2 linked regions of the Saccharomyces cerevisiae S288C genome follow. The gene in region 2 interacts genetically with the main gene of each other region. Each region holds a gene or a part of one and is shown on either strand. Other genes may lie near its edges.

What was found. A genetic interaction does not mean that the proteins touch.
Region 1: of YCH1 (region 2) and RDL2, changing one enhances a phenotype caused by changing the other (phenotypic enhancement), as found in Saccharomyces cerevisiae (one study listed by BioGRID).

Annotation. Positions count from the first base shown.
Region 1 is NC_001147.6:848,558-851,229, forward strand, and holds RDL2 (thiosulfate sulfurtransferase RDL2), read left to right. Parts: upstream 1-1,722; coding exon 1,723-2,172; downstream 2,173-2,672. Other genes in the region: HUA2 (Hua2p), read left to right, coding at 1-652; thiosulfate sulfurtransferase RDL1, read left to right, coding at 1,078-1,497; rRNA-processing protein RRP36, read right to left, coding at 2,380-2,672. UniProt on the Saccharomyces cerevisiae protein: Thiosulfate sulfurtransferase which catalyzes the transfer of sulfane sulfur from thiosulfate to cyanide.
Region 2 is NC_001139.9:902,626-909,616, reverse strand, and holds YCH1 (phosphatase YCH1), read right to left. Parts: upstream 4,381-6,991; coding exon 3,934-4,380; downstream 1-3,933. Other genes in the region: TDA10 (putative ATP-dependent kinase), read right to left, coding at 1-404; YGR204C-A (uncharacterized protein), read left to right, coding at 443-556; trifunctional formate-tetrahydrofolate ligase/methenyltetrahydrofolate cyclohydrolase/methylenetetrahydrofolate dehydrogenase ADE3, read right to left, coding at 843-3,683; PCT1 (choline-phosphate cytidylyltransferase), read left to right, coding at 4,869-6,143; YGR201C (uncharacterized protein), read left to right, coding at 6,420-6,991. UniProt on the Saccharomyces cerevisiae protein: Protein phosphatase.

The sequences.
Region 1 (2,672 bases), on a different chromosome or scaffold from region 2:
CGATCGTATTACATTGGGCTATAAAAAGAGATTGTCAATGATTGAAAATCAAATGCGACATCTTTTGGAGGATTTTAGTTTGGACGTTCAGCAGATTGAACCCATTCTTGCCGACTTGCAGAAGTACTACGACGCGTTTCTACAACTTTTACAGAAAAGGAACAAATCATTACAATGTAAGAGGTCCACTCACCAGCCGGTCCCATCCCCAATGAATAGCCAGACATCAACAAATGCAAAGGTTAATTTGAGCGGAAAGCTTATGAAGTTTCAGCTAAATAGTGTACAAAAGTTCGACGAAGAAAATATACTAAGGATTCTGCAAAATAAAATAGAATTCGAACATTATTTCCAAATTGATAAAGGTAAGAAGCAAAAGGTGCTATTACTTGCCGTATATCAATGCCTCAATGGGCCAACACGTTTGCATAAAGTGCTTAATATTGAGGGAATTATACATAATAATAGTATCAGAACTATACTGGGCAAACAAGTGTCCAGTTCTAAGTGGACAGTGTTTCTGTACGATGTAAAACTAGTTTTATTGGCGCATAGACAAGATGTTCCGAACTTAGAAACTAGCAAGATGATCGTCAGATATGGTGATTTATTTCCCTGTGCATTGTACTTCAAAGATCATACAGCATACTAAGCGCTTTCCAGGGACACCTTCTGTCGCAAAATATCAGAATTTTTCTTGATTAAACGCAGCATATTGAGTATATGAAATTAACGGGACACTGTGTGAAAAATTTGTAGTTGTACTTTTTTGTTATCCCCTTTGGTAGACATATGGACGAATTACTACTAAGATTGGCTTCCATAAGGCCCAAATCCAGATATCACCTACGGTATGTCCTTTTCCTACTTGCAATGACAAATAATTTGTTATTTATCTTGGAACCTATATAAGTTACATCTGATTGCTTTTGTATTTTTTTTGGAGAATATTATTACCCGCGGGGAAGGAAGTAAGGGGAGAATTTTTGAGGTGTATAAAAGAGAGTGGAGGCTTAATCAATCAAAGAATTCTTTCTCGTTTATTTTCAGGGTTTGTGACTAAGAAACGATATTAAAATGTGGAAGGCCGTGATGAATGCTTGGAATGGAACCGAGAGTCAAAGTAAGAATGTTTCAAATATTCAATCTTACAGTTTTGAAGACATGAAAAGAATCGTTGGAAAGCATGATCCTAATGTGGTTTTGGTAGATGTTAGAGAACCATCTGAGTACTCGATTGTTCATATTCCTGCTTCCATCAATGTGCCATATAGATCGCACCCTGACGCATTTGCCTTAGATCCTTTAGAATTTGAGAAACAGATTGGCATCCCAAAACCTGACAGTGCCAAGGAGCTAATATTTTATTGTGCTTCTGGCAAACGCGGGGGAGAAGCTCAAAAAGTCGCCTCCTCACATGGATATTCAAACACCTCACTATATCCTGGCTCTATGAATGATTGGGTTTCTCATGGGGGTGATAAACTTGACTTATAGCCTTGTATACTCTAGGTATGTACCCTGTGTATTTTCGTAAGCTAGTAACGTATTATGCCATTTATGTCACACCGTTCATAATATTTGCCTATTGCATTGGCTGTGATAGCGGCGGCGCAAAGAAATTAGGAAGTATAAAAAAAAAAATACAAAACTTAATCTGAATGGAATAAGATAGCGATAACTCTCAACAAATGGAAGCGAGACAGAAGAAAAAGACCAACGATGTTCAAGCATAGTACAGGTATTCTCTCGAGGACAGTTTCTGCAAGATCGCCTACATTGGTCCTGAGAACATTTACAACGAAGGCTCCAAAGATCTATACTTTTGACCAGGTCAGGAACCTAGTCGAACACCCCAATGATAAAAAACTATTGGTAGATGTAAGGGAACCCAAGGAAGTAAAGGATTACAAGATGCCAACTACAATAAATATTCCGGTGAATAGTGCCCCTGGCGCTCTTGGATTGCCCGAAAAGGAGTTTCACAAAGTTTTCCAATTTGCTAAACCACCTCACGATAAAGAATTGATTTTTCTTTGTGCGAAAGGAGTAAGAGCCAAAACTGCCGAAGAGTTGGCTCGATCTTATGGGTACGAAAACACTGGTATCTATCCTGGTTCTATTACTGAGTGGTTAGCTAAAGGTGGTGCTGACGTTAAGCCCAAAAAATAAGCCAAAAAGAAACAAGTATAATCGATATATCCTGTATATAGACAACCTTTTGTGTATTTCAAATTTTTTGTTGTCACCTCTCCGATTCATTCGATTTTCTCCTTGTGGTTCGCGGATAACCTCTTACTTCCATTAGTTTATGTGTGCGTTTATTTTTTTATCTTTCTCTATATATTACTTTAATGTGCATTCTTTTGCTTAAATACTCTACCTACGATTATGAAATTCAAATTGTTTAAACTCTTTACCCAATCTCTTCTTCCTTTTCCTTTCCATGACCTTTTCACGTTGCTTGGCCTTCATGTGATCAAATTTCCACTTTTGCACCACTTTACGTTTCTCAGACTTTTTCAAATGGTATCTCGTATTATTGTTTTTATTCATATCATTTTCGTATTCCTTGAGAATTTCACGCTCGAGATCTTTGTTTTTCATTGATTGCAATCTCGATTTCATACTTTTCAGTCTTTGTTCCATTTCTTCACGTTCTCCCTGGTCTA
Region 2 (6,991 bases):
TGGGATTTATCGTACTTGGGTAGTACGACAGTATCTTGATCCGGATGTTCATTATTATTGAAGATGGTGTTCAATACCTCTTGCAACAATTTCATATCATGAGTACCTGGTAAACCACGTCCTTGTAACAGCTTATTGTTCTTGAATTGCTCATTGAGTTTCAATTGGTCCTCGTGAGTTAAATAAAAATCATCAATTGAGGCGTAACCGATAGATTTTTCACCCCCATATTTTTCCATCAAATGGTTATAGATTTGGATACTTGTAAAACTTTTGCCTGAGCCTTGTGGGCCCGAGAAGAAAATGAACAAGGGGCATTTATTTCCCGTCTCAAACCATTCAGGTATATATTTATCCAAGAATTCTATCGTGTAGTCCAATACCGTTTTTGACTTATCACACATTTCTAGCTTTACTACTTTTTATATTATTCACTTCAGAGATGCAATGGAACGCTTTTTCCTTTGTGTCTTATGTATATCTTCGTTATTTTATTTCGTTCCGCCCAAATATTGTGCTAGCCAGTGTTCGCTTGTCTTGGTATAGTATCATTTAGATTGCTAAAAGTTTCATACATTTATTGTTCTCATTAATGCGTCTCCCCGCTTCGTTTGGTAATTAGGTTTTCTCCTCCTTAACGGAATCGGAAATTTTCGACGTTAAGGAACTGGGGTTAAATTAAAGGAAAAAGGGTCGCGGAACGTTAAATCCCCTGTGTAAAAAAAACTATAAATCATTATTAGTCCCAATAGTGTTCGTATTATCGTTATTATTATTATACATCCATACTTTAAAAAAACTTTTGCATTTGTCTTTATTAAATTCTATATAATTAAGTTGTCTTAGAACAGGCCATCGATCTCACCGTCATCATCGACTTCCACGGCCATGTAACCAGCATAGGTAGCCAAACCAGGAATGGTTTGTATTTCGGCGGCAAGAGCGTATAAGTATCCAGCACCATTAGACAATCTGACGTCTCTGATGGGGAAAGTGAACCCGGTTGGAACACCTTTCAAAGTTGCATCGTGGGATAAAGAGTATTGTGTCTTGGCGATACAAATTGGCAAGTTACCGAAACCTTGTTCCTTGTACATGTCAATCTTGCGTTGTGCTTCAGGCAAGATATCGATTGCGGCACCACCGTACATCTTTTGAACGATAGTAGTTAATTTGTCTTCAACGGAGGAGTTAACGTCATATAGGAAATGGAAGTCCACTGGTTGGTTGGAAGCTTCGATGACGGCCTTGGCCAAGTCGATAGCACCTTTACCACCTTCGGCCCAATGGTTAGAGGTTACGGCTTCAAATGCACCAGCTTCCAAAGCGGCTTTTCTAATGGCGGCTATTTCACCTTCAGTGTCAGTTTCAAACTTGTTAATTGCGACAACGACGGGGACGCCAAATTGCTTAATGTTGGCAATTTGTTTACACATGTTAGCGGCACCTTTTTCGACAAACTCGATATTCTCTTCAGTGTATGCGGAAGGTAAAGGTTGGCCAGGTTTGACATCTGGAGCACCACCGTGTGACTTCAATGCCCTAACAGTAGCAACCAAGACCACAGCATTAGGTGTCAATCCAGAGGAACGGCACTTGATGTTGAAGAATCTTTCACCACCCATAGTGAAATCGAACCCTGCTTCAGTAACCACATAACCAGCTTCTGTTTTTGCCTCTGGCTCGGTACCAACCAATTTCAAAGCCACGCGATCAGCAATAACAGAAGAGGCACCGATAGAGATGTTGGCAAATGGGCCGGCATGGACCAAGACAGGAGTACCTTCTAAAGTTTGCATCAAGTTGGGCTTGATAGCGTCTCTTAATAAAGCGGTTAAGGCACCGGTACAACCCACATCTTCAACAGTGACTGGAGACCTGTTTACGTCAGCAGCAACAACGACTCTTCCAATACGTTCCTTCATGTCCCTCAAGTCCTTTGAAAGAGCAAGAATAGCCATCAATTCAGAAGCAACGGTGATATCGAATCCAGTAACTCTTGTGTGGTTCTTCTCGGTAGGGGCTTGACCAATGGTGATTTGTCTTAACATTCTGTCGTTGATATCGACCACCCTCTTGATAGTAATAGTGTCCGGGTCAATGTTCAATCTGGCGAATTTGTTGATCTCTTCGGGTGTTAGATCATCGGGGTTGGTCTTTTGAATACCCAGTCTGTTCAATCTTCTTTGCATGGAGGGAGTAAACTTTCTCTTTCCGTTCTTTCTAGGCACTAGTCTGTTGTAGAAGGTAGCGTCGTTCTTTTGAGTGGTCTCATGGAACATTCTAGTGTCAATAGCGGCAGCAAGTAGGTTGTTAGCCGCACCAATGGCGTGAATGTCACCAGTCAAATGTAAGTTGAATTCGTCCATTGGGATGACTTGGGAATAACCACCACCCGCAGCACCACCTTTGACACCTAAAGTGGGTCCTAGGGAGGGTTGTCTGACGTTCGCAATGGCTGGCTTGCCCAAGTGAGCCGTTAGTGCCTGGACAAGACCCATTGTTGTAGTGGATTTACCCTCTCCCAGTGGTGTTGGTGTGATACCAGACACCAAGATGTACTTACCATTTTGGCGCGTCTGCAGCCTTTCGATGACTTTAGGAGAAATTTTGGCCTTGTAATGTCCGTACAGCTCCAACTCATGAGAGTAAATACCCAATTCTTGAGCAAGCTGGTTGATAAGCTTTGGCTGTTGTGCTCTGGAGATGTCTATATCGGAAGGAACAGGTGTTAGCAACTTCAATGGCAAGGGAGGAATCTGCAAAGGCTTCGAGGATTCTTCCATTTGGCGTTTGGCAGCAATCAAGGTATTTTGCATTAACATAGCCACCGTCATGGGGCCCACACCACCGGGCACTGGAGTGATTAGATGGACGTATTTGATTGCTTCATTGAACTCAACGTCACCAACACATTTGAAACCGGACTTTTTGGAAGGATCAGCAACGTAGTTGGTGCCAACATCAATTACCACGGTTTTCTTATCACTGGAAGTGCCGTCTCTTGGTTTGAACCATTCACCCTTCACAAATTCTGGTTGGCCGATGGCAACGACTACGATGTCCGCGTCGTGTAAGTATGATGCGATATCACGGGTTTTAGAATGAGTGATGGTGACGGTGGAGTTTAGAGATTTTAACAATTCTGCAACAGGAGAGCCAACAATGTCAGATCTTCCGATCACAACGGACCGGGAACCTTCAATCGTGACGTTGGCCTTGTGAAGCAGCTCAATGATCCCCTTGGGCGTGCAGGGCAAAAAGAATGGGTGTCCGTTCTTCTTATTCAATTCGCCAATGTTGGTGGGCCCGAACCCGTCCACGTCCTTTTCTGCCAACACTCTCGAGGTGATTCTATCCTCGTCCAAATGAGCGGGTAATGGTAGTTGCACGATAATACCGTGTGTATGTGGGTCCTCATTCAGCTGGTCCACGTAACGCAGAACTTCAAATTCAGTAGCGGATTCATCTAAATGAATGAAATTAGCAACAATGCCGGCCTCTTCAGCTGCCTTACGCTTCATGCGTACATATGTGGCTGAGTCTGGTCTGTTGCCTACTTGAATGATGGCAAGGTTAGGTGCAAACCCAGGCACGTGACCTTGAATGCTTTTGATTTCATTAGCAATATTGCTTCTAAACTGCTGAGCGCATGCTTTGCCGTCCAACACTTGACCAGCCATGATTTCTTATTTGACTTGTAAAGTTGTGTTCGTCTCGTTACCTGGTCTCACAACTTCAATTGAATGGTATCGCTATCGTTGTATTGTAAACGAGTCTATATATAATAAAAAGTTACGGGTTATGGAGAGCGCGTATATAATGAATGAATGACTGACCATAGTACGAAAGCGATAAAGAGGAAAAAAGAACAAAATTGTCACTGGGAGGAGTCATGGCAAATATATGATCACGTGCGATTGTGTAAACCTGTCAACGCCACAGATCGGGTAGGTAACCCGCCGTAACGCTCTCGTCGTCACCGTATACGGATTGCCAGCGCGAGAACCCCCCACGCAACACCCATAGACGACAGCGAGAAAGTTCCGCCGTGTCAAGCGACCGAAGCAGCAGCATCGCTGCAGACGGTCCGCGCTGCTGCGATAACATACAATGGAAAATCACGTTCAGCGCTCCGCGGCCGTCCGCTTGCTTTTCCAACAATCTGTGCTTTAGCTCACGTAAGTACTCCGGATCCTGCTTAAGGCGCGAATAGGCGTAGTGCCATCCGTCCTTGATATGGCCCCCCATATAATCTGAGCCTCGCACATCCACTACCTGGAAAGGCTCCCTCAGCGTAGTAGTGTGTCCTTCTTGCATCCAACGATGCAATTCAGTCGGATCCAGGTATTTTACGTTTGTTATTGAGTACGAGTCCATATTTTTTTTGCAATTGACTTCTCTTTTGCTTCTATCTGGCTGCACAGCTATCTATACTGTGCTGAAAACTGTATGTGCGGAGGAAGTAGAAAGGCTAGCGACAGCCAGAAAGAAAAAAATGGAAAAAAGGAAAGGGAAGAACCCAATAAGCGAAATGTGCATTACCCGTATTTGTCGTTTGCATGTAGGAAGAAAAAAATGAGTCGAAGACCTACCGTTATATAGTCATTCTTTTTCTTACGTTTTTACGCTTCGTTTCTTAACGCTTTTTAATAAGTATGAAATATATATCTGGTATTGGTTTTAGTACAGTTACCATTGTTTGTTTCTCCTGTTTCTTTTATTTTTTCTGCCGTTCTTGTATTTTTTATACCCATTCCCCTTTCTTGCATACGCCAGTCACTTTTCTTTATTGTATTGTTTAACTTTCAAATTTCACTCTTGCTATTCTCTCTTGGTAGTACAAAGCACAGCAGACACAAAGAAAAATGGCAAACCCAACAACAGGGAAGTCCTCGATTAGGGCTAAGCTTTCTAACTCATCGCTATCAAACCTATTTAAAAAAAATAAAAATAAAAGACAGCGTGAGGAAACGGAAGAGCAGGACAATGAGGATAAGGATGAGAGTAAGAACCAGGATGAAAATAAGGACACACAGCTCACTCCCCGCAAGCGTCGCCGGTTGACGAAGGAGTTTGAAGAGAAGGAGGCTCGTTACACCAACGAGTTGCCCAAGGAACTGCGCAAGTATCGTCCTAAAGGTTTCAGATTCAATTTGCCTCCAACGGATAGACCCATCAGGATATATGCAGATGGTGTTTTTGATCTTTTCCATCTTGGCCACATGAAGCAACTGGAACAGTGTAAGAAGGCTTTCCCCAATGTAACACTGATAGTTGGTGTGCCTAGCGACAAAATCACTCACAAACTAAAAGGTTTGACTGTGCTGACCGATAAGCAGCGTTGTGAAACTTTAACGCACTGCAGATGGGTTGACGAAGTCGTGCCCAACGCTCCCTGGTGTGTCACCCCAGAATTTCTACTAGAACACAAGATTGACTACGTGGCACATGACGATATTCCTTACGTTAGCGCCGACAGCGACGATATCTACAAGCCAATAAAGGAGATGGGAAAATTCTTGACTACCCAAAGAACCAATGGTGTCTCTACAAGTGATATTATCACAAAGATCATCAGAGATTATGACAAATATTTGATGAGAAACTTTGCAAGGGGTGCTACCAGACAGGAGCTGAACGTTTCTTGGTTGAAGAAAAACGAACTGGAGTTCAAAAAACACATCAATGAATTCAGGTCATATTTCAAGAAAAACCAGACAAATTTGAATAACGCCTCCAGAGACTTGTACTTCGAAGTCCGTGAAATCTTGCTAAAGAAAACGTTGGGCAAAAAACTCTACTCCAAGTTAATAGGCAATGAATTAAAGAAACAAAATCAACGACAAAGAAAACAGAATTTTTTGGATGATCCGTTTACTAGGAAGCTAATCAGGGAGGCCTCTCCGGCTACAGAGTTTGCCAACGAATTTACGGGCGAAAACTCTACCGCTAAATCACCGGATGACAATGGAAATCTTTTCAGTCAGGAAGATGATGAAGACACAAATTCTAACAACACGAATACAAATTCAGATTCAGATTCAAACACTAACTCAACGCCTCCCAGTGAAGATGACGACGACAACGACAGGTTAACTTTGGAAAACCTAACACAGAAGAAGAAACAATCAGCGAACTGAGCCCCTCCTCCAATCTCTGTGCGTCTCTTTCTCTCTCCCTTCAACCAACCCTTTTTGTCGCCTCCACGTATAAACAAGCGTATGTACATATTTAAAGATATAATAAGATAAAAAGCTGTTTTTCCTGTAATGCAACCGTTTCCCACGTATTCATCCCTTTTAATAGCCGCACCTTTAAACGATACCACCCCTTATAAAAGCCTAGATGTAGCAGTGCGAAGCGAACTCGATACTTGCTCATCATTGATTTCGGCATCTTTGTGTAGAAAACTACAAATGTCTGACGGAACACTGTTTACTGATTTGAAGGAGAGAAAGTTGATTAGGACCATTGTGCCAAGAGGTTTAGTGCGTTCCTTGAAGCTGGACGTTAAGCTTGCTGATCCAAGTGACGCTCAGCAACTTTACGAAAGGGAGTTTCCCTTGCGTAAGTACCCAACTTTTGTTGGACCGCATGACGAGTGGACGCTTACAGAGGCAATGGCTATTGACTACTACTTGATCCATCTGTCGAGCGACAAGGAAGCTGTGCGCCAGTTGTTGGGTCCCGAAGGTGACTTCAAAACTCGTGCAGATATTTTAAGATGGGAATCGCTTTCCAACAGTGATTTCTTGAATGAGGTTTGTGAGGTGTTTTTCCCTCTAATTGGCGTAAAGCCATATAATGCCACTGAATTCAAAGCCGCAAGAGAGAATGTCGACACCATTGTTTCGCTTTACGAGAAAAGGTTAAAGAAACAGCAATACCTTGTCTGTGATGACCACGAAACTCTTGCTGATTTAATCTCAGCGGCTGCTTTTTCGCTAGGGTTTATAAGTTTTTTCGATGAAACATGGAGGTCTAAGCA